Coturnix japonica: one gene and its partner. The protein of the gene in region 1 interacts with the protein of each later gene in a pairwise test. Links are inferred from orthologs where the notes say so. Each region holds a gene or a part of one and is shown in the gene's direction. Other genes may lie near its edges.

Region 1 (15,893 bases):
AGTGGGCCCTTCATTTGTTAATTTTGTGCAGATCAAGTCTCGTGGAAGAGATAAGTGAGGCAAAATACAATCCAGCGTCCTCTTTGAATGCTGAAGCACAAAATGCTCTGTTAAGAGTTAGGTGTTGTCATGCAGGATGTTTATCTCCCAACCTGCCAATTAAAGTAATTTCCATTAGTCATCAGATCCAAGTTCTAAAAATGAAGTGCATTTTTCCTAAATGAGGCTTTGCTTTTGAAAAGGAAACCAGAGCTGCAAATGTCATGAGCACTGTAATATCCATGGCAAGATTTCAGTCTGCCTCTCCTCGTGACTGAAATTCCAGTGCTGTTAACTGTTGAAATTGTATAATCATAAAACCATAGAATGGCTTCAGTTGGAAGGGACCATAAAACCACCTGTTGCCAACCCAGTTGTCTTGAGCGGTGTTGTCATACAATAGAGCACCCCTCCAACCTGGCTTTGAATGCTTCCAGGGATGGGGTGTCCACAACTTCTCTGGGCAGCCTATTCCAGGGCCTAACCACCCTCTGAGTAAAACTTTTCTTCCTATAAACACTTCAACATCTTTCTAATGAATATAAAGTCCTGGCATAACACCGCCAAGTCGATAGATACAGACTTTTCAGGACCTCAGTGTTTAAGATGTCATAACTTTTTTTTTTTCCATTTTGTTCAATAGTGACAATATGTTAAGTGGCATTTGGCGTTGTTATGGATCCTGCAGTACACATTGCTTTCTTTCTTTTTTCCCCCCTGCAGTTCTGACGGAGAAAATGGAACAAGTGAAAGAAGAAAGCCAGGAAAATCACCTGCTGGTTTGCTGCAGACCGCTAACAATGAAGTGGAGCATTTTGATGATGGGAAGAAAGTTGATTTTGCAAGGTAATGGTCAGGAACATTGATAGGTTTCTGCTAATGAAAAAAAATTCAGAATGGTTAACAATCCACTCAAGAAATTGAGAAATCATTGAGAAATGAGATTTATTGGATGACTCAGTTGTGGGTTAACTTGCACCCTAAGCAAGTAAGAGGAGAGCAGAGCCTACATCCAGAGCCTGCACTGTCAGGTTCAATTTGTTATAGAAACTGAAGTAGTAATTAAAAAAGAAAACAAAACACGTGAAGGACAAATTATGCATTCCTTTCACTTTCAACTGGGCAGACAGTGCAAAAGTCAACCTGGCAATGTGGTTTTGGTCACAGGGCAGGTAATTGCAAAGCAGCACTTAATTTTTTTGAGACGTCTTTGAAGAAATACGTAATAACTTGTTATGTAAAACTTACATTTTGACACTTCAGAATTTCATTTCCTAGTCATAGAATTTATTTTCCTAGTCATCCTCAGGGATTTTCCTCTGTACTCTTTCTAATTCAGAATTGTTTGGTTTTTCTTATGCATTTGGTTGTTTGGTTTTTTTTTGTTGTTGTTGTTCTTTTCTTTCAGCTTAAATTGCTAAGGGTGTAACAGGTACAACAACTTCCTTTAAAACAGGCACTTATCGTTCTTTTTCATTTATTGAAAACTTCACTTCCAGAATTGCTGTCTGCCTCATTGATTTCCATGCACTACAGTGTTTGCAGCCACAAGTAAAGTGCGTAGTGTTTCTTACATTGCCTGGAAACAAACAAACATGGAGCTAGGCACTATGATAATCCCTTAAACCGATAAAAATGCTTAGAACTTTATTTCCCTTACAACTAGTGGTTTAAAGTATTCCTCATAAGTTAAAAATAGGCCATTATGGAGGACTGGCCTAATTCAAGACTGAGACAGACTCCTATGCATTGCTATTTAGTATTTGAAAAATCAGATAGTTATTATTGAAAGATTAATGTGTTTCACAGAAAAATATGTCCTGTTGATAACAGAGGTTAAGCATCTTACGTGGCATGTTTTGTTTTGTTGTGCTGTTTTTTTATTATTTTCAGGACAAAGAGCAGTACAGAAGGTCCACTTCTGACAGTGGAAAGCAAGAATGATTCCAAGATTGAAAGGAAAAAACATATCTCAAATCAGGTATGGAGAAGATGGACTTTTTTTTGTTGATGAGTGATAAGAGCAAATACAGAACTGGAAGAACACCCTTGTTTACTAGTATTCTAATTCCTGGTTGGATAAGGATGTAGGTTCCTTTATTCATCTTAGATCAAGACAACAACTTAACAGGCATATAACAAAAATGACAATTTACTGTAAGACAAATGGGTAAAAGGAGAAGAAAACGGGAGTGCAGGAAGTGGTATGAGTATTGTAAGAATATCTAACAAGGCATGTGTCTTTGGCGGTGGGCCTTTTTGTTTTTTAGCTGAAGGCAAATGCACACTTTCATAAGCTGTTTCTGGATGTTTCCATTGATGAACCACTAAAACAAAGTAAGTATAAAGACTCTTGTTGTTGCTGACTGTGGGTCAAAATACTGTTAACATCTGCCAACTCTGGCAGCATATATAAAGCAGTACCCAAATTTTATAAAGCTTTAACTCCAGCTGCCTGGAGCTGCAAGGCCTTTGTTTGCATGCAGGGGTGTTTCTGCTACAGTCTTGTAAAACTTACATTTCTTTATTCTTCATGCATTTAGCATCTTTTGGTATTATAGCTCACTTTGTATTTCTTAACAAAGCAACCTAGTTCAGTGTTTCTGTAGCTTGTCTAAAACTTCGCAGGAATCTAGGTGGTACTCTGTCCAAAGAGTTTTGGCTTCTGGGACTCTGCTGCATATTACACTTTTCAGTCTTTATTCTTCATATATTTTGATTTAAAGTAAAGCTTGTGAAATCTTCTCTGTACTTGTAAAACTTTTTCAGGATATCAAGGTGTAGAGTCACAGGATCATGTGAGTTGGGAGGGACCATTAAAGGTCACCTAGTTCAAATGCCCTGCAATGATCAGGGATGATTTGACAGTGTTTATCAAATGGTATCTATCCAAACAGGTAATGGGAAAAAAAAAAAAAAAAAAAAAAGAAAAAAGAAAAGAAAAGAAAAGAAAAAAAAACCCAAAAAGCAAAAGAAATGTGAATGTGTGTTGTGTGTAAAATTACAGAATATCACTTTATCCCAGGTTTTACCTGTGCTCTCCAGAAAGAAATTCTTTACCAAGGAAAGCTCTTCCTTTCTGAAAACTGGATTTGCTTCCATTCCAAGGTTTTTGGTAAAGACACTAAGGTTAGTGCAATCATTTCTACTTAATAGTAGTGCCGTTCCTTAGAAATCTAGTCATCACTTGAAATTTGCTTTATTATGCAAGGCTAGAAAACTTCTAATACCTTCAAGTGTTACTGAATAGAATGACTATGTCCAAAAGTCTCTCTAGAACAGAAGTGCTATTTCTGTTAAAGGCCCAGTCTTTGCTTTAATGATTTCCTGTCTGAAGAAAAAAAAATATTTAAGAACTTGACATGGAATTACAAAGGCTGCCAAACCCACACAGCAGTAACTGTACAAAAGTGGCTCTCTTGGGTTACCTTTGGAAAAGAGGGGAAGGTGGCAGGATGAAAAGTATAAGGACTAGTTGGGGAAAGGGTGGGAAGGATCGAGCACACTCATTAACAGTCAGTTAAATAAAAAACCTCCAACTTTCTTCAGAGTGGAGCTGCATGCCTGAGGGGATTCTTCTATCTCTTCCTTCTGTTCTACATGAACAGAGAAACTCTGCTAGGTTTACACTTGTGAACCTAGTGTAAAGAACAGAAATGGGACATGAACAGCTGGGGCGGTCCTAATTACTCTTTTCTTAGTACAGACATGACCTGCATAAGGTTGTATCCCCTGCTGATGAATAATTTGCATGTAGATAAAATTACACTGGGCCCAAAAATATGCATGATCTATTTTTGTTGATTTGGAAGTTTTGGGGTCTTTGTCAAAATAAACTCTTCTCTGTCTTTGACCTGTTACTGTGAAAAAGCATGATATGTGGTAAGGATTTGTTTGGCTTCTTTCTGTAGTATTTCATTGAGTTAATTGCTTGTTAGATTAAGACCCCTTCTCAGTGAATCAGATGCTGAAACCGCTTTAGAGAGTTCACATTATCTTATTTCTTTGCTGACAGCTGTTGTGATGGAGCACAATGTATCTTCGACAGGGACCTTAAGAATGTAGAGTATGTTTAAAAAAAAAATGATTAATATTATTAGCCACACATTACTAAGACTGGCTCTGTAACTTGCTACATATTAGGCCAAGGAACTGGACTATTGTTTCCTAGATGATGGATTATATTAATAAAGTATTGGTAGTATGTTAATACATATGGTGTTGGTGTGCATGTCAGTGAAAGCCAAATAAATAAAAATTAATGAAGGATTGGATACCATCATTTAAGTTCATAGCATCTGTCCCATCAGGTAGTCTCAATAAAATTGAAGTTACTGTCTGTGTCCTGTGCAGCACAAATGAATGTGCATGGGCCTACTCCAAACTGTGGGACAGCTTTCAAATATTTAATGCTTGATTCAGTCACATATAGCAGACATAGATTTTTAGACATATCATCAATGAAACAACAGAGAAACTGGGCATATAATGAAGACTCATGTAATAGTGGAGGAGAAAATCAGGCCTGACACAGGCTTTGAAACAATTCAAATTTAGTCATAACCCAACTGCTGAGAGAAGTAGCAGGTCTACATATTCTATTAAGTTTATCATGCCAAGTTCTTCTACACACAGATTTTTTTCTATTGAGGCCTTTGGTGGGTGAAATAGTCATGGAAGGAGATTTGAATATGCAATGTAAACACTCTGTGTGTTCAGAAATAAAAGAATCCTTCTGCAGGACTTAGCAGGCTTTGAAAGACTTTGCAGTCCTTCCAGGTTGTTCTATTTTGGTTATATGTGTTGACCTGCAGTCTTTTCTTCATCATCCTAGTTGCTTTTCAAGATGCCTGCATATGAACTTGTTTCCTGAAATAATTATTACTCCAGATAGATAGAAATAGAACACTTGCAGTGATTTTCCCATTTTAATCTAATGCTTAGGTAAGAGTGCAGCAAGCAAGTACTTAATCCCACTTAAGTATTCTTTAGTCTTGATTACAGTAATGTTATCCATCAAAATTGCATGCAGCAGAATGCCATTAACATCTCTTACTTGAAGTTCTTTGAGGTGGGCTGAACCAATTAGAAAACCTCTAAGCCACATTTGCAATTTGCAGGATTTCTGCTGAAAAATCTTTGGGAGTGGTAGGTTTCATTTATTTTGGTGCTGTCATTTATTTTGGTGGTGGCAATGGTTGTTACGGTTGTTGTTGGTTTCTCTCAGCAATGCAAATTGTATTCTGACTACATGACAGTTCTGCTTTGTTTTGTTTGGTTTTGTCTTCCTGTCAAACAAGCATCATATCTCCTCCCTTCTTTCCACTCAAGAAGCAGCCTTTTTTGAACAGAAGTGTTATAAAATCTTTCTGGATCAAGAAAACATTCAGTTCAGGAAAAGTACAGTAGAGGATCTACTTAATTAACCTATTTTCAAAAGACTTGACCTCTAAAGCTGAGCAAACAGAATAAATAATCAATAGAAAATAGAATAATCAGCAGAAAAAAATGAGTCCAGATTTGCAGATTCTTAGACACAGGCTTAGGCCTATGAATAATATAATGTTACAGGTGTTGGCTTTTGTTGTGGTTGGCTTTTTTCTCTTTTTTCTGGCCTGCGGATGACAGAGGAATGGCTCGCCATGCTTAAACAGTGGCTGATTATCTTGCATCCAGATGAAACACATTTCAGATGAAGCCAAAAAACATATATATATATATATTTTCATTTAATGGCTTGGTATTGCTTTGCATTTATTATTCTGAACAAACATTAATAAAGTTTTATGAACTTGCACAGGGAGTCTTTACTCTCCTGCATTAATGTGTTTTTAGTTCCGTGCTCTGATCACTCAGCACTCAATCTATGGTCACTTTTAGTTCTGAATTTCTCAGGCTATCGAGACAAAGGTATCCGCAGCAGAAGCTGTAGCCTATCCATGTGTATCTTGTATAATTTTATTTGCCTAACTTTGTAAGCTTTTCAACTGCAAGTCAAACCAGCCATTCAGTCCTTTGTAATACAAGATTTACAGAAAGATCCCATGCAGAATATTATAACTGAAATACTCTGAATATGGCATAGCACCGCACATATTACCAATGGAGTTGGATAAAAGCACAAAGCAGGATGGAAATTTGGGAACTTTTCAATGTAAATGTAGGTAGTTTAGATGGCAGACACAGGAATCAGTATAAGTGAGTCAGAAAGCATGTGGGTATTGGATCTTTCAGTGATACTGGTCGACAAGCTGTTTTACTCGGCTGTTCCATGCAAATGAAAGGATCTATAGGTGGCGAAAAGAGCTATATGTTTATTCTTCAGTACGCTGTTGTCTGATTTTTGTTCCTAAGCAAAATGCCTAGCTTGAAGAATACTTTCTTCTGCAGATCTACAGTGAACAAAGCTTCTGGTCTTTTAAGTACATCTGATGAAAACAGAACTAAAAATAATTAAGAAATAGTATTAATCTGAAAAAGTACCTGTTCAATATGAATTGTTAGCAAGCAGGGACATAGAGGAGAAATCCTCACGTGGAGAGCACTGAAAGTATGGCTTATTACAGTTGGTAGGCTGGCTGATTATGAAACAGCATGCAGATTTGTATGCATGTACTGGGACTAATACTGCAATGGTCTTGTTGTAGATCAGCATACCTGTGCTCTCAGTGACACTTCTGAAGAAAACCAAGACTGCCCTTCTTGTGCCAAATGCTCTGATCATAGCAACAGTCACAGACAGAGTAAGTACACAGAGCACAATGCTGTTGTACCCTGCCTGCTTTCTTTTTCATTTTTCAACATCTTTTGTCCTCTCTACTTACTGGCACTCATATCATGAGAGATTCTTGAAGGTGGTTATTTAAGTAGGTAGAGGAATTGGTCACATGTAGTCGTTTAGATTTGGGATCCCAGTGGGTCTGGTTTCTTACCAGATAATTTGAGCTACTTCTGCCTCCTCAGGTGTCAAACAAGGGCTATGTAGAACTTGATGAGAAAATAAGAAATGGAACCTCTTGTTACTAGGTGTTGCCTGTAAACTATCATTCCTCATTCTTCAAGACTTCTGTGTAGTGGCACTTATGGATCAGAAACAAATGGGTCTGGAAGTGCATGCAGGGAGGGTTATCTGCCTTGCTGGCAGCTCTTTACAATGTTCTGACCTTTTCTTGGGTCTCTTATCAGCAATACCGTAGATGCAGCAAAATGCAGTTTCGCCCTACAGTCTCAGTAGTAATTGCATCAATCATTAGAAAATGTGATTATGCCAAGAGCAGCTTTAGAAGAAACCCCTTTTCTCTGCAGAAATGTTTTTTGGATTTGGGCAACTAATTTATTATTTTACCATGGAGAGTTTTTAAGACAAACAAACCAACAAATAAACATAATAGATCTGGACCATGTTGTAATTTTATGTGCCTGTTCTGTGTTCCCTGTGATTAACCTCAGGTCTCAGCCTCAGAAGGAGGGGAGGTTTTCCTTGCTACATGAAGGTTCTGGAAAGTAGGAGGTTTTGCTGATCAGATCACTGTCAGTTTTAGTGAGGTGAAAGGAAGCTTGTACTGTGTGTCTTTTCTCAGATGATTTTGGAACTTTTGTTTTTCAGTATATGTTCGTCTCCTTACTCTCCAGAGATACAACCTACAAGCTACTAAAATCTATATGTAGACATCTTGAGGTAAGTACGAATGGGAATGAAGAAATGCAGCTTTATGTTCATCGTTACTGTTTTCCCACTTCTAAGTGCTGGGCAATTGCTAGGAGTGTTTCTTGTTAAAGGTACTGCATTATTTTTTCAGGATACAAGTATGGGCAACAGTCCCAATCCATCTTCTGTTGAAAACAGCTTCAGGTCTGATCGTCCTACAACTCTGTCCCTGGTAAACAGCTTCAATATTTGCTCTTTTGTTGCGCTGCTCTGTGCATTGCCAATCCTACCTATAATGTCTGAAGGAAGGAGACCAAAGAAAATCATGATATCTGTTAGGAAAAATTCCATGAACTTCTTAACATTAAGAAGCAGTGAGTATGGTTAGCATAGGTATAGTTTGATCTAAGTAGATATATACAATGTATGTCTTATATACATTACAAGGTATGTATGCCCTACATATTTCTTTTGCTGTGAGATTTCACAGTTCTCTGTACTTAGCAGTTGGTTGCTTCCTCTGACATTAACTATTTTCAGTGTTTCTTGTTACAATCCTTGCACTGTGAGCCAATTCAAGCAGCCGAAAGAGCTGTTTCTCCACATGTGATGACCAGATTCTAACTCTAGAAATGACTTTTCAGGACTGTTTGTTTAGCAGTCTTCCTTTTACAGGCATAGTTAATGTCTTCACTTAAACTAAGGCAGGGAATGAGTCTTAAATTCAGGTGGTTGCAAGTGGTTTGCTTATTTTGCTAACCCAGTCTCAACATCTTGATATCAAAGGTTATTTCTGGTCCCAGTTTTAAACATGTAATTATTAGTTCAGTTTCTACAGGGAATTCAGAGGAAATAAGGTTAATTAGACTTGCTGTGACTGTTTCCCCATCAGGATTTCAACGAAGACTATTCTGATCTGGATGGAATAGTACAGGAGCAGAGACAAGAGATGGAGGAGTCCAGCAGCACAGGCTCACAGACCCCGGAGCTAGAACGCTTCCAAGGTGAGTGGGGTCGTGGAGCTCCAAGAGGATGCGAACAGATTAGCTCTCAGTTTTGCTTCTGTAATTCCTTCTGCTGTAGAGGTAGATCTGTGTTCTCCACAATCCTGCAGGCTGGTTACGTTTGGTCTTCCTCCAAGTTGCCAAAGCTGAATTTCCCTTGTTATATTGCTTTGCAGTCCAGAATTAAACAATGCCTTTTCAGCATCAGGCTTGATTTATCTCTACTGACTCCAACTGCATTCACCATCTATTTCATGTACTTATCAATTGTGCTGTCAAAGATATAGCTGAGCAAATGTTCATGTTTCCTTCCTCTTCTTCTTTCCCCTTCCCTGATCCTTCTCCTTCCCCCTTCTTTTTCATTTTTAATTATAAATAAATAAATAAATAAATAAACTATTGTAAAATAGCTCAAGTTATAAAGAAATGTCTTCTAATCGGCGCAAGTAAATGTTTGTACTGTGCTGGATTTTAGTAATCAAGACTATTTCTTAACATGACTTTGTGTTTCTGGTTTATAAACCTTAATTCTATTCTTTCTGGTCATCTGTTCATTCTTAACTCTACTATTTGTAGTATCATACTCTTCAAGTTTTTCACCTTGTTAGCAGGAACACTGTGTGGAAACACAGTGCACATAAGTTGATAAATATGGCGAGACTCATTTTATGAAGGGTATCTATGTAGGTTATTTAAAGTATTCTAGGGTGTTAGTCTGCTATGCAGTTACTATATATTAACGTATTCATATGTTGCTGTTCTGTTATTTTTCTGGTTCTGTCTGAACACTGACCTTGAACAATGAGAAACCTTTACTTTGAAATGAAAGATTACAGATACAAAATATATATAACAATTTTCAGTAAGCCTAGTTTTAGTTAACTCTTCATTTCTCATATGTCTCTTTTGTTTAGTGGTATGGTTTGGGGTTGTTTAATTTGATATTTACTGTGTGTGTATGTTTTTAATTGTTAGACTAACTCAAGCTACAAATGTTTTCCTTTGACCCCATATTTCAGCTTTATTAAAAATCTTTCTTTTGACAGATTATCATGTTGTTGAGACACAGACTCACTTGAAAGTTTCAAAGACTGAAACAAAGTCTGTCCGCTCTGATGCACGCAGTAAATGGGTGCCTGAAGGGAAAGCCAGAAACTGCATTCGAAATGGTAGGAAATTAAGGGCAGATCCTCAGCTGAAGTTAGTTGGGACAAATTCATGTAGTTATGTCAGTTGACATAATATGGAAGATTTCTTTCTTGTCTGTCTCTCAGTTTATATTATCTGTTGCATGCTTCAAAATGCCATTGTGTCTGGTGTTTCCTGATCAAAATAACACGTGTTCTTTCCCTAGCAGGTCATTCTGAACCTTTCGGATTCTTCCACAAAGTTAAGTTCCAGAAGCTCTTATCTCTGAACCACATACTTATATTTTATGCAGTTCTGTAAGTAACCAATTGATATCAAGATTCTTGAGATTCTCAGACTTTTTAAATGTAGATTAATATTATCTCAGCTTTGCTTGAAAAAGTGGAAATTGATTAGAATTTTGGCCTTTATATCTTTTCAGAACTAGAAATGCCAGGACAGACCTATTTAACAGGCCTTTTACTTCTAAAAGCAAAGGGTTTTTTGGTTCAGGAGTTGTTGAAGAGTTTAACTGCTTGCACTTAGCAGAGCCACACTCAAGGTTCAGACTTTCAGAACTATCTGAATGCCACCAGTACCTGTGCAGCATGATGATTTAAATGTCTTTTAGTGTTGCATTTGTGAGGTATGTCTGATATTCCCACATCCATATAAACATAGCTGATATATCTTTTTTTTTTTTCTTCCTCTTACAGTGTCTGTGTTTTAATATTTTCTACCTTCTACATGAGATATAAAATCAATGTCCTGGAAGAACGTCTTATCTCCATTGCATCTTTTGATTCACATGTTAAGGAGTAAGATGGACTCTATAACCCTTTCAATTAAGAAAAAAAGAAATTACTTCTCCAGTATCTCATAATAATCCAGTCTTTTCAGAAACTTCTATGTTACTGCTGTGCCCTCATGAAACTTAATGTAGTTCTTTTTGTCTGCACAAGCCTCATCTCACAGGTTTCCTTTCAAGACTTTTAATGCAAGCATGTTGCATGGTGTAATATTGCTTTCCGGATATTTCAGATAACTCTGATAATAGCAGTAATGTAAACTGCTGAAATGAGCTTCTTTCCAGATAATGATTCTGTGAGAAAGCTATGACTTTGGTCTTAGTGTCACTTCATTAACCTACAATGACAGGTGGTATTTTGCAATCTGCTTCTGACTTACTTTTAGGGTGTTTTATGGAGCTTTGAGCTTCTTTGAGCGGGTCATATGGGTGTCCTCAGAGAACTTAGGACAGAAGGGAGTTCAGCTGGATGCTGAAAGTACAAAGAGTTTATTTAGTATTAAATTTGGATTAACTCTTCTCTCGCTCTTATGACTTGATTTCTCTGAGCTCCCCTGGAAAACATGACATAATCATTTTGAAACCTCTCTGCAAATTCTGCTGTGACACAGCACAGTTAGTGATGCACTGCCTGAAAAAGGGGACAGCTGTACCCAGGTGGAATGGAGCTCTCTGCAGAGTGTTTCAGACTTGGTCGTATTGTTGTCCTGAACAATGACTGTGCTGCATAGGCTCCACAGGACACAGCTGGAAGCAGCATGAGTTGCATGCGTGACTAAGCCAGGCTCTTAAGAGGAAAGAAAAGGAAATGGTGATTTATCTTAAACAGGCTTGCAGCTGTATTTTACCAATACAATGGGGAGAAGGGTAAACTTACTTAATAGTAGGCAATATTAAAAGCCATTTTCCCCACTTTTTACTTATTTCAATTAACAGGATCATCTGAAGCACTCTTGCACAGAAAGATCCTGTTTTCTGTTGTTCTGATCCTAAAGCAGGGATACAGGATGACCTGATGTGCACTTGTATTGTGTCAAAGGGCTGCGCTTTTTGGTTTTCTCTAAGTCACAAGACACAGAACTTATGCAGCTCTTCAGCTTATTTCAAACTGGAAAACTTGACAGCTATTTCCTCTAAGCTTCTGGGGAGTGAAACAACGTAAGGAATGTAGCCAGAAGTACAGAAGTGACTCAGGGCTTTGTTTCTGTAAACAAGTACAGTTCACAGTGTTACCATTCAAACTGTTCGTATCTGAATGTGTCTTTCAGCTCTGCTTTCCATTTTCTCATTTCCACCTCACGAAATTCTTCATTCTGTTTGACAGACATCCAGTGCACCAACGTTTGGAGTCTCACCTGCAAATTAATGCTGATGCCTTCTGTGACGAGTTAACTGCTAATCTTATGAAATTGGAAAAGGTAACTTTGTAGGATGTGATGCAAAATCTGGTAACACTCATTGGGTTCTGCCTGAATGTCTTGCATGTTTTACTGGAGGGTGCACTTTTTGGGGGGCTGTAAGCTAGCTAGTGTATTCATATTCTCCACCTGGAAACACAGCAAAAGGCAGCCGGATTCTGGAGCATTCAGCTGTTCGCAGATAAGTGACTCTTGGTCCTGAATTAGAGTCTTAAGTCATGCACTTATTTCATTTAGTGTCTACAGAACTGAACCCTTGTCACTGCAAAACAGTCCAGACTGCCAACTGCTTCTCAGTCAAGTTAAATGAGTACTGCATGTAGCTGATGCAGCCGGTAGTTGGAACATTGTTTGGCTCTACTGCAAAACTGGCTGAAATCTACTAAATCATATGCTCAAGTTACTGCAGTTGTTGAACTGCTTTGTGCTCGGTGAGAAGTGCTGGTGATTGACTTCAGCTGGCTTCAATAGCAAAACTAATGCAAAAGTTTCAGTGCAAATAGTCATCTCTTCCCCCCTTCTTGTGGGGCTGCAGCATTATAAACTACTTCACAGAAACTACCTAGGTTAAAAATGAAAAATCACACTTCCAGTTTGTAAATGTTCAGTGCTAAAGTATGCTAAAGCTGTCTTGGAAGGTAATTTTCCACTGTGGCTAAAGCTTCTGTGGCTGCTAACCTGCTAGTTACTAAGATACTGTGATCACACGTGCCTGGGGATGTGTCCCGCTGCATTCCTCTCTCTCTACTGTTAAGAAGATGGAGAACAGATAAAGCAGCTGTTTAAAGCAGGGCTGTGCCAATCATGCTGAAGATGTGACTGCTTTAAATTGCCTTCAGTGTATCTGAGGGAATATAATCAATAGTGCATGGGCATAGGGGCTTGTGACTGGAAGACCTTATTCTGCTGCATACATAAGCCTCTGCAGCTGAAGCTGATCTAAAACTATTCAAATGACTGAAACTTAGAAGCTGTGACTTCTATGTCCAAAGCCTCGTACTGTGTTTTGATTGAGTTCAAAATTTTGAATGTATTGAAAATTTCTTTCTAGCTCTAGTTTTGTTCTCCTATCTCCTATCTGATGAAGAAGAGAACCCATGGGAGGTTGCAGGAGATACCTGTAAGCGATATCAGCTTGGTTTCAGTTGCTCAGCTAAGCATTCTGCTGACTGATCATATCTAGATGCTTCCTTTGACTCCTGTCATTTAATATGAATACTCTCAATACAAAAAGCACTGGTAAAAATAGCTGTGACAGAACTAACAAGCACACAGAGAATATACTGAAGAATGTCTTGATTTTCTTAAGAATGTAGGATAACGCTTTCTGTTTCCCAATCATTTTTGTCTCTTTTTCTAAGATACAGAATAACTTACAAAAACTGCTTGAAGATGGTGAATGAAATGTTTGTGCTCTTGGACTGCTTCAGACTTCATTCATCCCGCTTGACAAACAGATCCAAAGGAGCTCTGCTGGACAGAGTTCAAGCTTCTTTATTTTCAGTCCAAGCCAAGGTTAAACTGCTGATGCTCATGTCACAACACAGAAAGTCATTTTATTGTTCAACAGCTACATTTGTGTGCATGTTTTCAAAATAAGGGGTTTTTTTTTGTTTTGTTTTGTTTCCCTTCTTTGTTCTGTGTGAAGTAATTAATGGATTTTACAGTTTGTTTGATTTTCCTTGCACCAGTGCAAACCTGATGCAACTCCTTTTACCTCAGCCTTTCTTTTCTGCCTCTTTTCATGTACTTGTAAATAAGAAATTCAGGCACAATTCGTATGCTGGCGTGTTGTGTGAATGACCTGGTGTGTCTCACAACCGTGGCTATGGATCAGGGCTGTGCTTTTTTCATTCTATCCTATCATCCCAAAGATTAAAACCAAACACCTCTGGGTTTGATTCTGTGGAGTGCTGAATGTTTGATGTCTGCTCGGGCTCTCAGGTGCTGCAAAAAGGCTCAATTCCATGCTCTGTGGCACTGTATCTCTGCTGAGCATAAAGTCCATTTCTACTGGGGATTCATCGTACATCAAAGTCAAGCTTGAAATATGTGTGAACTTGCCAACTCAGCATTAAGTTGCTTGTGAATAACATTATGGGCATGACATGTCTGTCCGGAAAACCAGCTGTTTTTCCTGCCAGCTCATTAAGTCTCTGTCCTTTAAGTTAATTTATCAGTGTGGAGATCTCAGCTAGCTTTCCTTAGACCTGCATGGAGTCTTGGTTGGCTAAGAAAGTATATTTCATATTCCGGTTTATATAAGTCTAGTCCTGATATGGAACAGATATTTCCACATAATAGAAATTACTGAAATTATTTTTATTGCCATGTTGTTAAACTGAAAGAAAAGGTGGACGTCTGCTTTGTTATATCACAGTATTTTTTCACCTTACCTAATGGGATAACTCTTTTGGATTTTTTTTTAGCTTTCTGATTCACAGAGCAGGGTGGTTCATCTGAAAAAGCAATATTTAGGTTAACGACCACTTGTATATGCAATATAACTGTTTATATATGCTCTGCATTTTATAACCATTTCTGTGAAATGTACCTTACTTTGTTTAAATAAACTTTTTTGAAACAAGCAACTCAGTGCTGTGACTTAGGAGGAAGTTTTTCACACAAGGTGGTGACGCACTGGAACAGGTTGCCCAAGGAGGCTGTGGATGCCCCATCCCTGCAGGCATTCAAGGCCAGGCTGGATGTGGCTCTGGGCAGCCTGGGCTGGTGGTTGGTGACCCTGCACATAGCAGGGGGTTGGAACTGGATGAGCACTGTAGTCCTTTTCAACCCAGGCCATTCCATGATTCTGTGATTTGTATCATGCTACTTCCATCCATCAGTTTTAGTCTAACATGATCCTCATGATCTGAGTAGATTTACTCTTCACAGTGCAAAGTATGTGTAGAACTCTGGTTATAAATCTGTAAGATCTCTTCTGTCTGTTTCAACATAGAGGCTGTGGTTCTATTTATGGTGCACTGAAAATTGAGGTCACAAGTCACTTCTGTCAAAGGAGTGCTTAGGTAATTTAATTACACCCATCAGCTGGTCTGAATTAGCTTATTGCTCGTGCTTTGCTCTATAAAAAAATGAGAGAGTATTACATAAAGCAGACAGGCTAAGCCTGTAGGCAGGCTTATCACCAGCCGTAAGCAAACAGAATGATTGTAGAGGTGAAAGAGTAATCCAAGGTAGGGGCTGCCCTTCAGCCTGTATGGCTGCATGCCAGGGGAGGTGAGTCTGGACAAAGGTGTGCAAGCAGTGTCTCATAGGGGGAAGAAGCAAACTGCAGTCCAGTGGAAGAAGCAGCAGTTAGAGCTTTTGAGTCTGGTCATCTCAGCTCACCAGGTCTTTGTATGTGGCAGCCTTTCCTTAGTTCTTCAGTTTGTAACCTCACTCCTTATTTTCCTACATGTGAAGTTTGCTCTGCAAGGAAAGCCAATGTTAGAGGCCCTTCACAGCAGAACACAAAGGGCAGCAGCTTGATTAGCGTTTGCAAAGAATACAAATGGTTTCATGTGTGTGTGATTGATTTCAGTACCGTCACTGCTTTCAGCTGACTGTGCATGCAGTTACGAAGTGATGCTCCCAGTTTCCTTTTACACCTGCACTTTCGCTTCCAGACTTACAAGCTAACAGTCAGCTGATCAACACTAAATAAACCTCTGGGCTGGTGCTTTCCAGGCCTTTGAAGGTGGTGTCTCAGCTGGTTCACCTGCAGCTGCCTGTGGGCTGCTATGGCAAAGGATACGTGAGGTTTTGCCTTGACAGAGCAGGTGTGACGTGCAATGAATGTGATGAAAAAGCTGGCTATTTATGCACTAAAAATTAATGCTAATATG
Region 2 (11,656 bases), on another chromosome or scaffold:
AACTGGAAATAAGGCCTAGGAGAAAATCAACCTACGCTTGAAAAGATGAGTAGTAATTTATCTAGAACAGAGAATAGAACTGAACCCATTGTCTTTGTACCACACCCATGTAACCGTAGGAAGTTATTCTCAATATTCAATAAGAACTGAAAAAGTCATAACCCACTAGAGATTTACAATAAATATTTGCATATGGCACAGTTATGCAATGCAAATAGATGCCTACAGAGACTGCACTGAAGAGAGATGTGATAAGACAGGTATTTGTTTCTAAAGGAGACCATAATCAGCATACAGGACTCACGGAAGCAGTAAAGGACTGCACACTATTTCCAAGCTGAGGCAGCATTTAACAGATGTCACAGAGAACTTGCTTTTTAACACCACCTTCTCCGCTCCTTCCCCTCTTTAACCGAGTCAGGGATCAGCACAGCACAGTGACAGGAGCTGGGTGCAAGCAACCCAAAATGAAGTACCTTAAGCAACACTGCCACTGAATATGAAGCCACAAATCCCACGTGGGTAAAAGAAACTAATTATTAAAGTCACAGCACCTTGTAGAAGAAACTAATTATTATGTTATACAGGAAGGAAGTGAGGATGAGGTGAACATAAAACAGTTTGGGAAGTCCTCTTTTAAAGCACTCATTACATAAGTAATACTCATTACCCATTTACATGTTAGAATATATAGAAACTACCAAATCCTTTCGCTCTAGAGTTCTGCTTTTCACAGCAAAGTACTGTAACAGCTGTAAATCACTGTACAGTTCACTGGATTGCAAAGTTAAAGAGCTGTTTTGAAACCATCTGAAACTACTGCTCTCTTGGGAGAACAAATTCAGCTAAAGAGGCTGGATGGAAATGGACCAAAAGTGAAAGGAAAAACTCTCCTGTGCTACAGAAAGCATTCAGCAGGATATTAATTAAGATCAGCAGCCTCCATTACAGAGTCATGTCATAGTCTATAATTATTATGTGAATTAAATACTAAAGAGCACTTTAACGGTCTAGAGCAGCCTGTGTTGAAAGGTGCTGCAAACATTAACAAGGGCAGAAAAACAGAGCGTACTTCCTGCTCTTGTGTCACTCTTGATTTAACAAAGTAGTTATGAAGGGGGAAAAAAAAAACAGGCTTGGCTGGCAACCAGGGCAAAGTTTCCCAACAACTCTGTAAGGTTGTAGAAAACTGCTTTAAGGCAGATACAGGCAGAAGAGAACATCTAACTGAAGCTTTTCTGAATGTATAACACAGCATTCACAGACTGGAATGAGCACCCCAAAGACTTCAGCTCCAAATTCAGAAAGGCCACTGCAATGACAAAGCACGTTATGAATTAGCATCTTCTTGTCCTTCAGCATGACCTCTACCAGAAAACGTTCAGTAATTCCCTTTCTTTGCATTCAGTCTCACAGAATCACAGAATGACCCAGGTTGGAAGGGACCTCAAGGATCATGTAGTTCCAACCCCCCTGCCTGGCAGGGCCACCAAACATACACCTTTACTAGATGAGGTTGCCCAGGGTCCCATCCAACCTGGTCTTGAACACTAGGTGTGAAAAGCAGATAAACCTGGATTCTTTCAAAAAGGGAAACTATTGTCAGCCGTGTGGCATTCCAGCCAACTTTACAGTGCAGAACAGCTGGGATTTCATACATGAAATGAACTAGAAGTGGATGAAATATCATCACTGCTAGCATGAAGTATAACTATAACCCCATCACCACAACTATAACATGAACTATAACTGCAGCTATCATTCATTTTGTAGGATGCCATAAGGCAATGGACAGAGCTGGTAAAAATACAAGATATCAATAAAGTGAGTTAATAATAATAAGGCAAAGAGAACCAGAAGTTATCACAGTATATAATCACTATCCAGAGTGACGAGTTTATCCTTTCAAAGCAGCACTCAGGACATTCTTTGCAGCATGAAACTCCACACCAAGGGAGGAAAGATAAATCACAATCCACAAAGGGGGAAAGATAAATGCATCCCCCAGGTTAGAAATGAAACGTGTGGTGCCCCACACCCACACAACCCGCGGCCTCCCCTCCACCCTTCGAGCGGCGCCGCCCCCGCGCCTCAGGGTGACATTGTGAGGACGCAGGCACCCACCTTCTTGCCTGCAGTAGGACATGGCGGAGCCGCCCGCTGCCTTTCACACTCAGTGCGATCGCAGACCGGCTCCGCGTCCTTCCCCTCCTCCTCCAACACCGCCGCAGCTCCACGCTGTGCCCGCTGACCTCCGGAAGAACACACACTGAACTCTAACACCAGGAAGCATACGCCCTCACATCGAGGTGGGCGCGGCTGCTGCTGAGCGGTTGTCGTTGGTGGATTCTCTGGTTTGTGAGGGAAAGAGGCCGAAGATGTCGAGGAATGTAAGTGATAAGCTCCTGTGGGGGATCCCAATAGCTGTCAGATCCCGCTTGGCTCCTCCAGAGGGGCCTCGCCTCCTCCCCTCTCTACCCGCTATTGCTGCTTGGGTATTACCCACAGCACAGAGCTGTGGTGCTCCTCACACCCTGTGTTGTTGGTGTTCTAATGTGGCAATGCTCAGCATAGCAGCAGAAGTTTGTTCTGAGAGCTCTTCTAGTCCCCCAAGGTGCAGTTATGGCAGGGTGTGCTGTGGGATTGCATTGTGGTATTTATAGCTGTGCTGTAGCTAGTCTGGAATTTGGGAGTATTACTCAGTTTGTCGCTGGGTGTGGATACCAAATAGGGAACGTAGAGACAGGCTGAAGGATGTGTGAAGGGATGTGCTTTGCCAATGCTATAGGCATTGTTTTTCTTAGTTAAGGTCTATTTACTGGCTGTATTTCTGGTATCAAAATTGGGACAAGGCATTTAGGGGGTTGGAACTACATGATCCTTGAGGTCCCTTCCAACCCGGGTCATTCTGTGATTCTGTGATTTAATAAGTGTGGGAAGGTTCAGCTCCAATGCAAGCAGTGCCGTTTAGCAGTGGTTAAGCAATTTAGCAAAGGTAAAGAGCTCCTTTTGAAACAGACCATCTGCTTTTATACCAATATTACATTTCTGGTTTACCTCCAACAGTTTTCTGACACAGGAAGCAAAAAAGAACATGTCAAAATCACCAGCGAGGCCAAGCCAGGGTTCCTGGAGAGGCTCAGCGAGACTTCTGGAGGCATGCTTATAGGACTTGGGACATTTCTTCTGTCCTTCTACCTTCTTTTTACCAATGAAGTAAGTGAAGTACTATCAAGAGTTTATATACAGCTTTAAAATGGTTGGCCAAGGTGGCATTCAACTAGTTTTGTATGTATAGGGTCAAGGAAATGGTCATGCTGTAGTTTTATTGCTTCATCAGTGTAAAGAAGGCAGCGTGTCGGGTGAGGCTGATGCTTATTCTTGGGATGTAAGAATGAAATCACAGAGTCATAGATGTTCTTGCTGTGGAACGGTGTGTAATAGAAACAGTGTCTGTGTATGGTGAGGAAAAAGATCCCAAACCTATGAGCTCCCGGTGAAAGAGGCTGTAGTGCTATAGAAAGAAGCCGAACGAGCCAGCCACGTTCAGTTCTTCTGTCTCTATCTTGAGATAACATAGGGAATTCATTTCTAGTGCTGTTAGGATTTTGTTATAGGAACTCATTCAGTGTTGCAAAAGTGAGGGTGTTAATTACTCTCGTTACTTTGTTTTGGTTTTAGACTTGGAGGAGAATGGTGAATTACAAGTGTGTTTTCAGATTATGCCTTGAGGATGAATGTCTTGAGAAGTCCTTGGGCTCTGCAGATCACTTGTCTTCTACTATTTTCATAAGATAATGATATGCCATTGATTCTCCACAGCTTGATTTTGCTTTTCGTGACTACAGGGACGAGCTTTGAGGACAGCTAAATCTCTTGATGAGGGACTTTCTCTTGTGATCCCTCTTGACAACATTCACAGGGTATCTCAACAAAATGAGGGGAGTCTGGTGCACTTAGCAGGCGTTCTGAGCACAGCAAAGGTAAGTAAAGCTAACATCTTGGATATGGGAGAATTTCAAGTTTGGAGGGATTGGAGTGTTGAAATGCTCACAGATGCCTCACTAATTCCTACTGACTTGTGTTTTCTTTGTATTTCAAATAGCCTTTGTTTGATCCCAGCTATGGGCTGTCCGTCCAGGCTGTCAAGCTTAAGCGCAAAGTGGAAATGTACCAGTGGGTTGAATATGAAGATTCCAGGTGAGTGAAACAGGTCTTTAAAAGTTGTTTATAGGAGTGTTTTATTAACAGGGTCAGTTGAAACGTGCATTCTGTATTGAGCTGGTTTGTGTGTGTGCTATTTTGCTTCTTGCTTCACTCTTTTTCTTTGCAGGGAGTATGAAGAAAATGGTGAGATCAAGAAAGAGACAAAGTACTCGTATAGTAAGTTGATCTGCAGAAAATCCTTTTGTTTTTATGTGTGAAACTTTGGGCTTTCCTATATATCTATCTTGATTTTCTTGAAAAAAACATCTATTTTTTTTTCCTTGGGAAAGAAAACTATATAAATAAATAAGTAAAAGTTATTTTGCTAAGCCAGATGGCAGCATGTTGAGAGTTTTAGTGTTCACATGAACTAATGAAAACCTCCAGCACCTTCTGATATGTGTTGTGGCGTTTGGCAAATGCTTTTTTGGCAGGAGGAGAACTGGGAGGATAGTTCTAATCTACCTGATGGTGGAAAAATACTCTGAGTCATTGTATCTCTGGAGCTTATTCTCTGTGCTTCATTTATTCACAACTAAAGCCCATGTAATGTAGGTGTGCAGTGATTTCTGGGTGTGATAATAAGAATACTCCAGTTCAGTGAAGCATGAGACTGTGCAGCACAGAGACAGCAAAGGAGCAAAGCTAGTGGTGGGCGTGAGATATGAGGAACAGCTGTTAAAGAAAAGATCCAAAAAAAAGCTATGCTCTCAGAAATGGTGTCCAGTTGAAGTCTGTATATTACCATGTACCTATTGTCAACAAAATTAAATACTTAATTAGTGATTTGGTTAGTAGCAAAACACAGTTACTTCCGCTATTTTCCAGGCTCAGAGTCAATCTGGACATCACTGCCCTTGTTACTGCTTCAGGTTGCACTTGATGTCTTAAGTGAGGCAGGAAGCAGTGTGGGTGTGGGTTTACAGTCTCCCCGCTACTCTTGCTTCTCATGCTTCTTCCACCCCTGCAGCCCTCCCCAAAGCTACAAAAATCTTGACACGTAAACCTGGTACACTAGAATATCCTTTACAGTGATCCCCACTCCAGTGTTTAGCCAAACTCTCTTCCTTTCTCTCTTCTCCTCCCTGGAGGCATAGAGCATGTATTTAGTACAGAGACTGCTCAAAAAAAGGGACTCTAGTTTTGTATGAGTTGCAAAAAAGCTACTTGTACCTATAAGGAATGTGCTCTGGGGGTGTGGAGAGGATGCTGTGGCCTGAATCGAGGCAGTGCTATGTGACAGTGGCATGTACAGGTATCTTTTCTGTCTTACTTGACTACACTGAAATCTGCTAGCTCTGGCAGAACTCTAAGCTTTTCCTTGCTTGCTCCCAAAGAGAGGAGCCAGGAATTAAAGCCTGATCAGGGAAGATGCTAACAGCAAACCTTCTACCATGCAATGCTGAGTTACAGTTTTATCCCTAAGGTCTTTTTTTTCTTAGTCCCTCCACTCATTGTTAATATATTAGGAGGTCAGATTTAAGTATCATTATAGACTATCCCATTGTGTACCTTGATTTAAAAAAAAAATAAAAAATGAGTGTAATTTGAACTGATTCATTGATTTAGAGGTGTCATCGGTAACTAAGATCTGAGTGGCAGTTGTTGCTCTCTTCTCAATGTTCATATCATTTTCCTTAGATACTGAATGGAAATCCGAAGTTGTGAACAGCAGGAATTTTGATCGAGAAATAGGACACAAAAATCCCAGGTAATTTACCACCTAGCACAGTCCCTCTGGGTTCTGTCAGTGAATCTGATTGATGATGAGAACTCAATGACAAATCTTCATGGTGTAGCAAAGTGGATAGAAACTCTTTGTCTCTTTGTAGTTGAGAGAAATTAAATGAAACAGCGGTTCAAAGCTGCCTAATGGAGCCAGAATCCAACATTCCTGATGGAATACTGCTTATTAGTAATGGCTCTACATCAGGCTGCTATTTTACAGTTGGACCATGTGGATTGTGTATGGGAGAACTGAATGGGTTTCTTTTTTACTTTTATTAGTCTGTTGCTAGTTCTTCTGTTAAAAATAGAATGAGAATAGCAAGCATCCCACAAGCTTGCCATACCACTTGCATGCTGTTCTTCTAAGGCAGCGTGTATGAGCTCAGGCTTATTTATAGCAATTGCCCACATATAATCCGTTCTGTATTTCTCTCACCTACAGCATTTTAATTATGCTACAGTGTACCACTTTTAGTGCTAAGTTTTAGCTTGCTTGTCGTTCTTACAGCACATGTTTGGTTCCTAAGGATGCAGGAAACCATTTGGCAAAAAAACCCCACAAACCAACAACCCCAAACATGACTTGAATGAAGCTTAGAACTGTGCTTTATATTAAATACTGTAAAGCAGTAGTTTGATCATAATTGTGGAACTAATCAGGAGCTCTGTCTGTTCCCCAGTGCCATGGCTGTGGAGTCCTTTACTGCTGTTTCTCCTAATGTCCAGGTTGGCAGCTTTGTCCTTTCCAAAGGTAAGAATTACTCTGTACTGACTTTGCATTGTTTATTCCAGTAGAGCTGCAAACTTCACTTATTTCTGCAATGGTGATTGTTACAAGTGATAATCAGGAAGCCAGCCTGCAAAATGTCTGTTCAACACCAAACCTGAGCTTGGTTCTTTGTTCTGCTTAGGCCTTGTGGATAAGATTGATGACTTCAAGCAGCTGAGCTTGGCACACCTTGAGGATCCACATGCTGATGTTACCCGGGGAGGAGATTATTTTTACCACAGCGAGAACCCCAGGCGTCCAGAAGTAAGATGAGAAAGATAAAACCAAAGCAGCAATTACTGTTGTGTGAAAAAAGAAAGCTGGGGTATGTCCCATTTCTTTTTAAACATGTAAAAATTGGAGTGCAGAGCATCACATAGGACAGGACCATTAATAAGAGTGACTCCTTGCTGGAAGCTTCTGATCCTGCTTGCACCTTCATTTTCTGTTTTTATTTCTTTTTTTTTTGTTTGCCTTGATTTTAGATGGAACAACATTGGATGATGTGGGAGGTGGTTTCTACTTCTGCCTTACTGAGTACAAAGTTTGTTGCTAGTTAGTGCTGCCTTTCTTTGCCAAAAAATAAAATTGCAAGGATGAGTGTAGGATCTATTTGATGTTAATATGTTCCTGCAGCTAAATCAGAAAGAATATTGCAAAGAAACATCTTAGCTGTCTTGTTTTGGCTATCAACTAGGCCCAGAAAAAATGCAGCCTGGCTATCTTACATGGTATCCTCTGTCTTGCCACGAATGTTCAAGACAAGTGATGATACAAGAAGTGTTCCTATGAAGAGTTTTCTTTCCTGTGATTCTCCTTTGTAAAGAAATCTTTCTCTGATTTCCAATATTCTTCTTATTTGTAGGTGGGAGACCTTCGTGTCTCATTCTTCTATGCTGGTCTGAGTGGACATGACCCCCACTTGGGCTCACCTGATAAGGTAGATCTTCAGCTATTTGTGTTATCCGAGCTCTGTCCCCAACTCAGTAACCACTAACATTCTTTGCCTTTCTTCCAAGGTAACTGTGATTGCTCGGCAGAAAGGCGATCAACTCGTTCCATATCACACCAAGTCTGGAGATGTTCTTCAGATTCTCTACTCTGGGGATCTCTCTGTAGAGGTAAGAGATCACACCATGCCAGTAAAGGGTTGAAACTGCAGATCGTAGTGCAGAAGCAGACATGGAATAAGCTTTAATTCTCCTTCAAGCCTGTTGCAGAGGAGGAGATGTAAACTTTGGCTTTTCTCTGTGCTATATCTAGGTCAAAGCATTATAGCCTGTTTTTTCCTTCCCAGTTTCTTCATGTTTTTGTGTTGCTGCAAAAAGCTGTACTTCACCTGTTAGCAGTATATAATTTGGCTATAGTTACTTCTGTTCTTCTTTCCCTTTTTAGAGGTAGCTACAGCTAAAGTAACTGTATTAAAAAATAAGTCAGCTTGTGTGGCTGCTGGTGACTATCATTTGCTCTAAGAACTGTTCCTGTGCCTTCTCATTTTGGCTTGATTTGATTTTTGGTAGCCTCCCACTTATACACAAACATACGCTTTTGAAAAGGTTATACACAAAAACAGTAAAAATCAGGCTTTAATTAGACAAATCATAGGAGCTATCCATTCTTCAGCCTCTCTTAACAGAGAGTTTAGGCTTGTTTGAAATGTTTACTGCTACTCTGACTGAGAAAGAGCCTTCAGGCAGTGCATAATGCTCCAATAAATCCTGCATGCTCAGGCAATTTAGTGATTCATTGACTCCTCTTAGTAGGTTGATTTCCATTAATGATTCCTTTGTGCCCTGCTGTAGAAGTTCCAGATGTCAGGAATTTACAGTATCTGCCAACAGCAGACAAAAAGGCTTTTTTTCTTTTTTTTTCCCCAAGTTGAAAGGGAGCAGCAGTAGAAGCAGCTCTCTGCTGTGAGCTCTTAATCTTCATTAATTAGAATTTTAGTTAATTGGAAATGAGCTAAGAGTGAATAAATTATAGAGTCCTCAGCCATACAAGTTGTCAATCAGACATTTTTCTATCTTTCCTGTGTTTTCTTATTTCTTAGCCATCTGTATGTGAATTTTTTTATAGAGGAAAAGGGGCATTTTTGCAAATAGGTGCTTTTAGTGCTTTAAAAAATGTACACATACCTTTTTATCTTTGCTTTCCTACACACTGCTTGTTTTCTTTCATGCACCTTTCCTTCAGCCATCAGTGGATCTTATTGCCTGTTCTGTCTTGCTGCAAACATAACAAAATCAGGTGTTTCCTTCATGTTATGTGTACTTACTGCAGTCTTATTTTCCACAATAAAGAGCACTGAAACTCTGTGCTTTCTGATTGGGGTTACAGAGAGTGCCTGAGGGTGCGTGTTTTGCTGTCTTTATTTAAATAAATGCAGCTTTCCTTTTTGCTGCACTTTGAAATCTTGTGTAATGTGCTTGGCTATTGATGTAAAAGAAAGGCCCTGAGGAATGAGCTGCAATGTATCTTCTACTGTTGACTCTGACTTGCTCCTATATTGTACTGGAAAGAGCTGGATCTCAAGAGAACTTAAGTATCATTACATGCAGCCTGTTTCTTGCTTTCAGGAGGTGTTTCAGAAGGAGCATGAAAGTAACACCATGAAGACCTGGGCCCTCCGTGCAGCAGGCTGGCTGGCAATGTTTGTAGGCATCAGCCTAATGACCCGGATTGTTTACACTTTGGGTAGGTTGGTGACAGAAAGCTAAAATGAATTTAGAAATAGGATGCTGTACGGTTTATGATTCTATGTTGCTTACATGTGAAATGAATTTATTTGAAGGCCAGAAGGAGTCTGTGATGCCTCATAAGCCTTGGATAAGACTTCAGACTTAATTTTGCATGACTTCTTATCTAAAGAGATGAGGATGCTGTTGTCTTAGATGTTCAGATGTGACTTATTTATCAAATGCCTTGAGGATGCTCTCCTGAAATGCCTTTTCCATTGCCCTTATAATAACTTGAGTCTGCCTCTTGATCGCCATAGTTTGTGTGAATCCCAGGCATAATAAGGAGTCCTTGTAAATAAATGATGATCAACTCTTTTATCCCTTGTTTAATTCTTTCCACAGTGGACTGGTTTCCTGTTGTTCGAGATCTGGTTAACATCGGATTGAAAGCTTTTGCCTTCTGCATGGCCAGCTCACTGTCACTTCTGACCATCTCCGTTGGCTGGCTCTTCTACCGCCCTCTCTGGGCTTTGCTGATCGGATTGCTCTCTGTAGTTCCAATTGTGGTCGCAAAATCCCGTATTCCACCAAAGAAGCATCAGTGAGAAAGAGGTACTCAGGTTCTGCACTAAATCCCGTTTAGAAGCTTTTTATGTGCATTTCTGTTTTGGTTACATTGCTTACAGTACATTGTGCTTCAGCAGCGTGAGCCAAGATTTGGGGAGGGGTCTTGAGTGTGGCTGTTGATAAACGTATTGTCTGTGATAAAGATTACAATAGAATGCTGCTTGTAGGAATTCAGTGACACCGAGTTCAGGAAAAAAGAAAACAAAAACATTTGGGAGCATCTGTATTCATTATAAGTCAGTGTAAAAGTACCATCTGTCTTTCACCTCTTACTAATTCACCCTGATCTGAAAACTGGCAAATTCTCATTGGCAGGTGGGGCACCTTATATATTATGGACAAAGTACCAGCTTCATCACATGGACTGATGTGGAATCCGTAGGAAATGCGTGTGTGTACCTGCCTCTGACAATCCCTCCTGCTACTTTTTCTCACTCATACAATCATGTGTACTACTTTGGCTAAACTACTTGAAAGTGAATTAAAGGAGAAGCGACTTTTGACACAATACTTCAGTAACATTTATGCTTTTGAGCTGGGGGTTTTGAAAGTAGCTTGGAATCTCAAGTGGCCAGGTTAGTAGTGGTTTGAGGCAAGGAAGATATGTCAGAAAAGCAGTGACTTTCCTCAACTTTTAAAAGGGTCTGTGAAGATGTTCTTGGTTAAGCACCCAAAATGCTACAGCTCTATTAAAAACACTGAATTGCCCTTATTTGAGGAGATACTCAGAGGTCACTCGCCTTTAATTTTAAAAATAAGACCTCTATGAAATTAAATAATGAACACATTTTTGCCTGATTAGATTTCATAGATGTAGTAGCTTGAATTTTGAGCTTTATATCGTGTTATAACAGCTTCCTGTAGTGCTGCAATGGCTCAAGCTTACAGGTTTTGTTTCTGTAAATAGTTCTTGAGTTTAGAGGCAACCTTGTCTCTCTAGGTAGCTAGTTTGGCTTCCAGATGTGCTCTACCAATGTGTTTTTCCTTCTGTAAGTAAACATAATTTGGTACAAAAATAATGTCTTCAGTGAATGCATTTTGAAGCTGAATTATGCCTGTATTCCCCATACCAAAGGAAATTTGTTTCTATGTATCTTCATGATGCAGGAAACTAACCAGCATTAGCACATGGGAGATGAAGGTGCAATTTTTCTATGGAAGTGCTTTTTGTATATTTAATAAAATACAATTTTCAGAAGGTTGGTCTGTAGGCTTCTTTTTCATTACCTTTAAGCACTGCTTATTTCACATCCAGGAACGACATCCAAGCGTGTGGAGGATTAGTTTTGTAACTTTGGATGAACAAGTTTTCCACTGTTGGTGGAGGCAAATGTGCAGTTGGGTTTTGTATCACCTGTAACCTCACAGCTGTTATCTTGTCCATGTGCTTAATGATAAGGCTGATTCCAGCCTACCAGTGGTGTTTTTACTCCTCTTTGCTCTTACTACTTAAGAAATAGTAGCTTCCTTCCCTCCATAGGATCATCTGAGAAATATGGTCATTCATCTTGACTGGATTCAGGTGGTTTTTTTTTTTGCTTTTTAGAGGCTTCTTTTGCATTCAGCAGTTTAGAACACTTTCATCTTACATGCTCATCTGCACACAAGAATGGTGCAAAACTGAAGAACTTAATGTTTCTGAGGGTAG

What was found.
Region 2: the proteins of GRAMD2B (region 1) and TMEM43 interact in binary tests that used the Homo sapiens proteins (3 or more experiments, as listed by UniProt). The two-hybrid records come from large-scale screens. The link is inferred for Coturnix japonica from reciprocal best matches to the Homo sapiens genes GRAMD2B and TMEM43.

The regions. Positions count from the first base shown.
Region 1 is NC_029547.1:65,140,597-65,156,489, reverse strand, and holds the end of GRAMD2B (GRAM domain-containing protein 2B), read left to right. Parts: intron 1-762; coding exon 763-885; intron 886-1,932; coding exon 1,933-2,020; intron 2,021-2,309; coding exon 2,310-2,376; intron 2,377-3,064; coding exon 3,065-3,168; intron 3,169-6,686; coding exon 6,687-6,782; intron 6,783-7,645; coding exon 7,646-7,717; intron 7,718-7,838; coding exon 7,839-7,919; intron 7,920-8,579; coding exon 8,580-8,691; intron 8,692-9,737; coding exon 9,738-9,860; intron 9,861-10,045; coding exon 10,046-10,136; intron 10,137-10,535; coding exon 10,536-10,637; intron 10,638-11,951; coding exon 11,952-12,045; intron 12,046-13,406; coding exon 13,407-13,448; 3' UTR 13,449-14,636; downstream 14,637-15,893.
Region 2 is NC_029527.1:8,346,272-8,357,927, forward strand, and holds TMEM43 (transmembrane protein 43), read left to right. Parts: upstream 1-2,282; 5' UTR 2,283-2,378; coding exon 2,379-2,390; intron 2,391-3,066; coding exon 3,067-3,216; intron 3,217-3,848; coding exon 3,849-3,983; intron 3,984-4,105; coding exon 4,106-4,200; intron 4,201-4,333; coding exon 4,334-4,383; intron 4,384-5,847; coding exon 5,848-5,917; intron 5,918-6,614; coding exon 6,615-6,685; intron 6,686-6,845; coding exon 6,846-6,967; intron 6,968-7,568; coding exon 7,569-7,643; intron 7,644-7,722; coding exon 7,723-7,824; intron 7,825-9,279; coding exon 9,280-9,397; intron 9,398-9,783; coding exon 9,784-9,986; 3' UTR 9,987-10,019; intron 10,020-10,323; 3' UTR 10,324-11,206; downstream 11,207-11,656. Other genes in the region: CHCHD4 (mitochondrial intermembrane space import and assembly protein 40), read right to left, coding at 2,125-2,146. UniProt on the Homo sapiens protein: May have an important role in maintaining nuclear envelope structure by organizing protein complexes at the inner nuclear membrane. Required for retaining emerin at the inner nuclear membrane.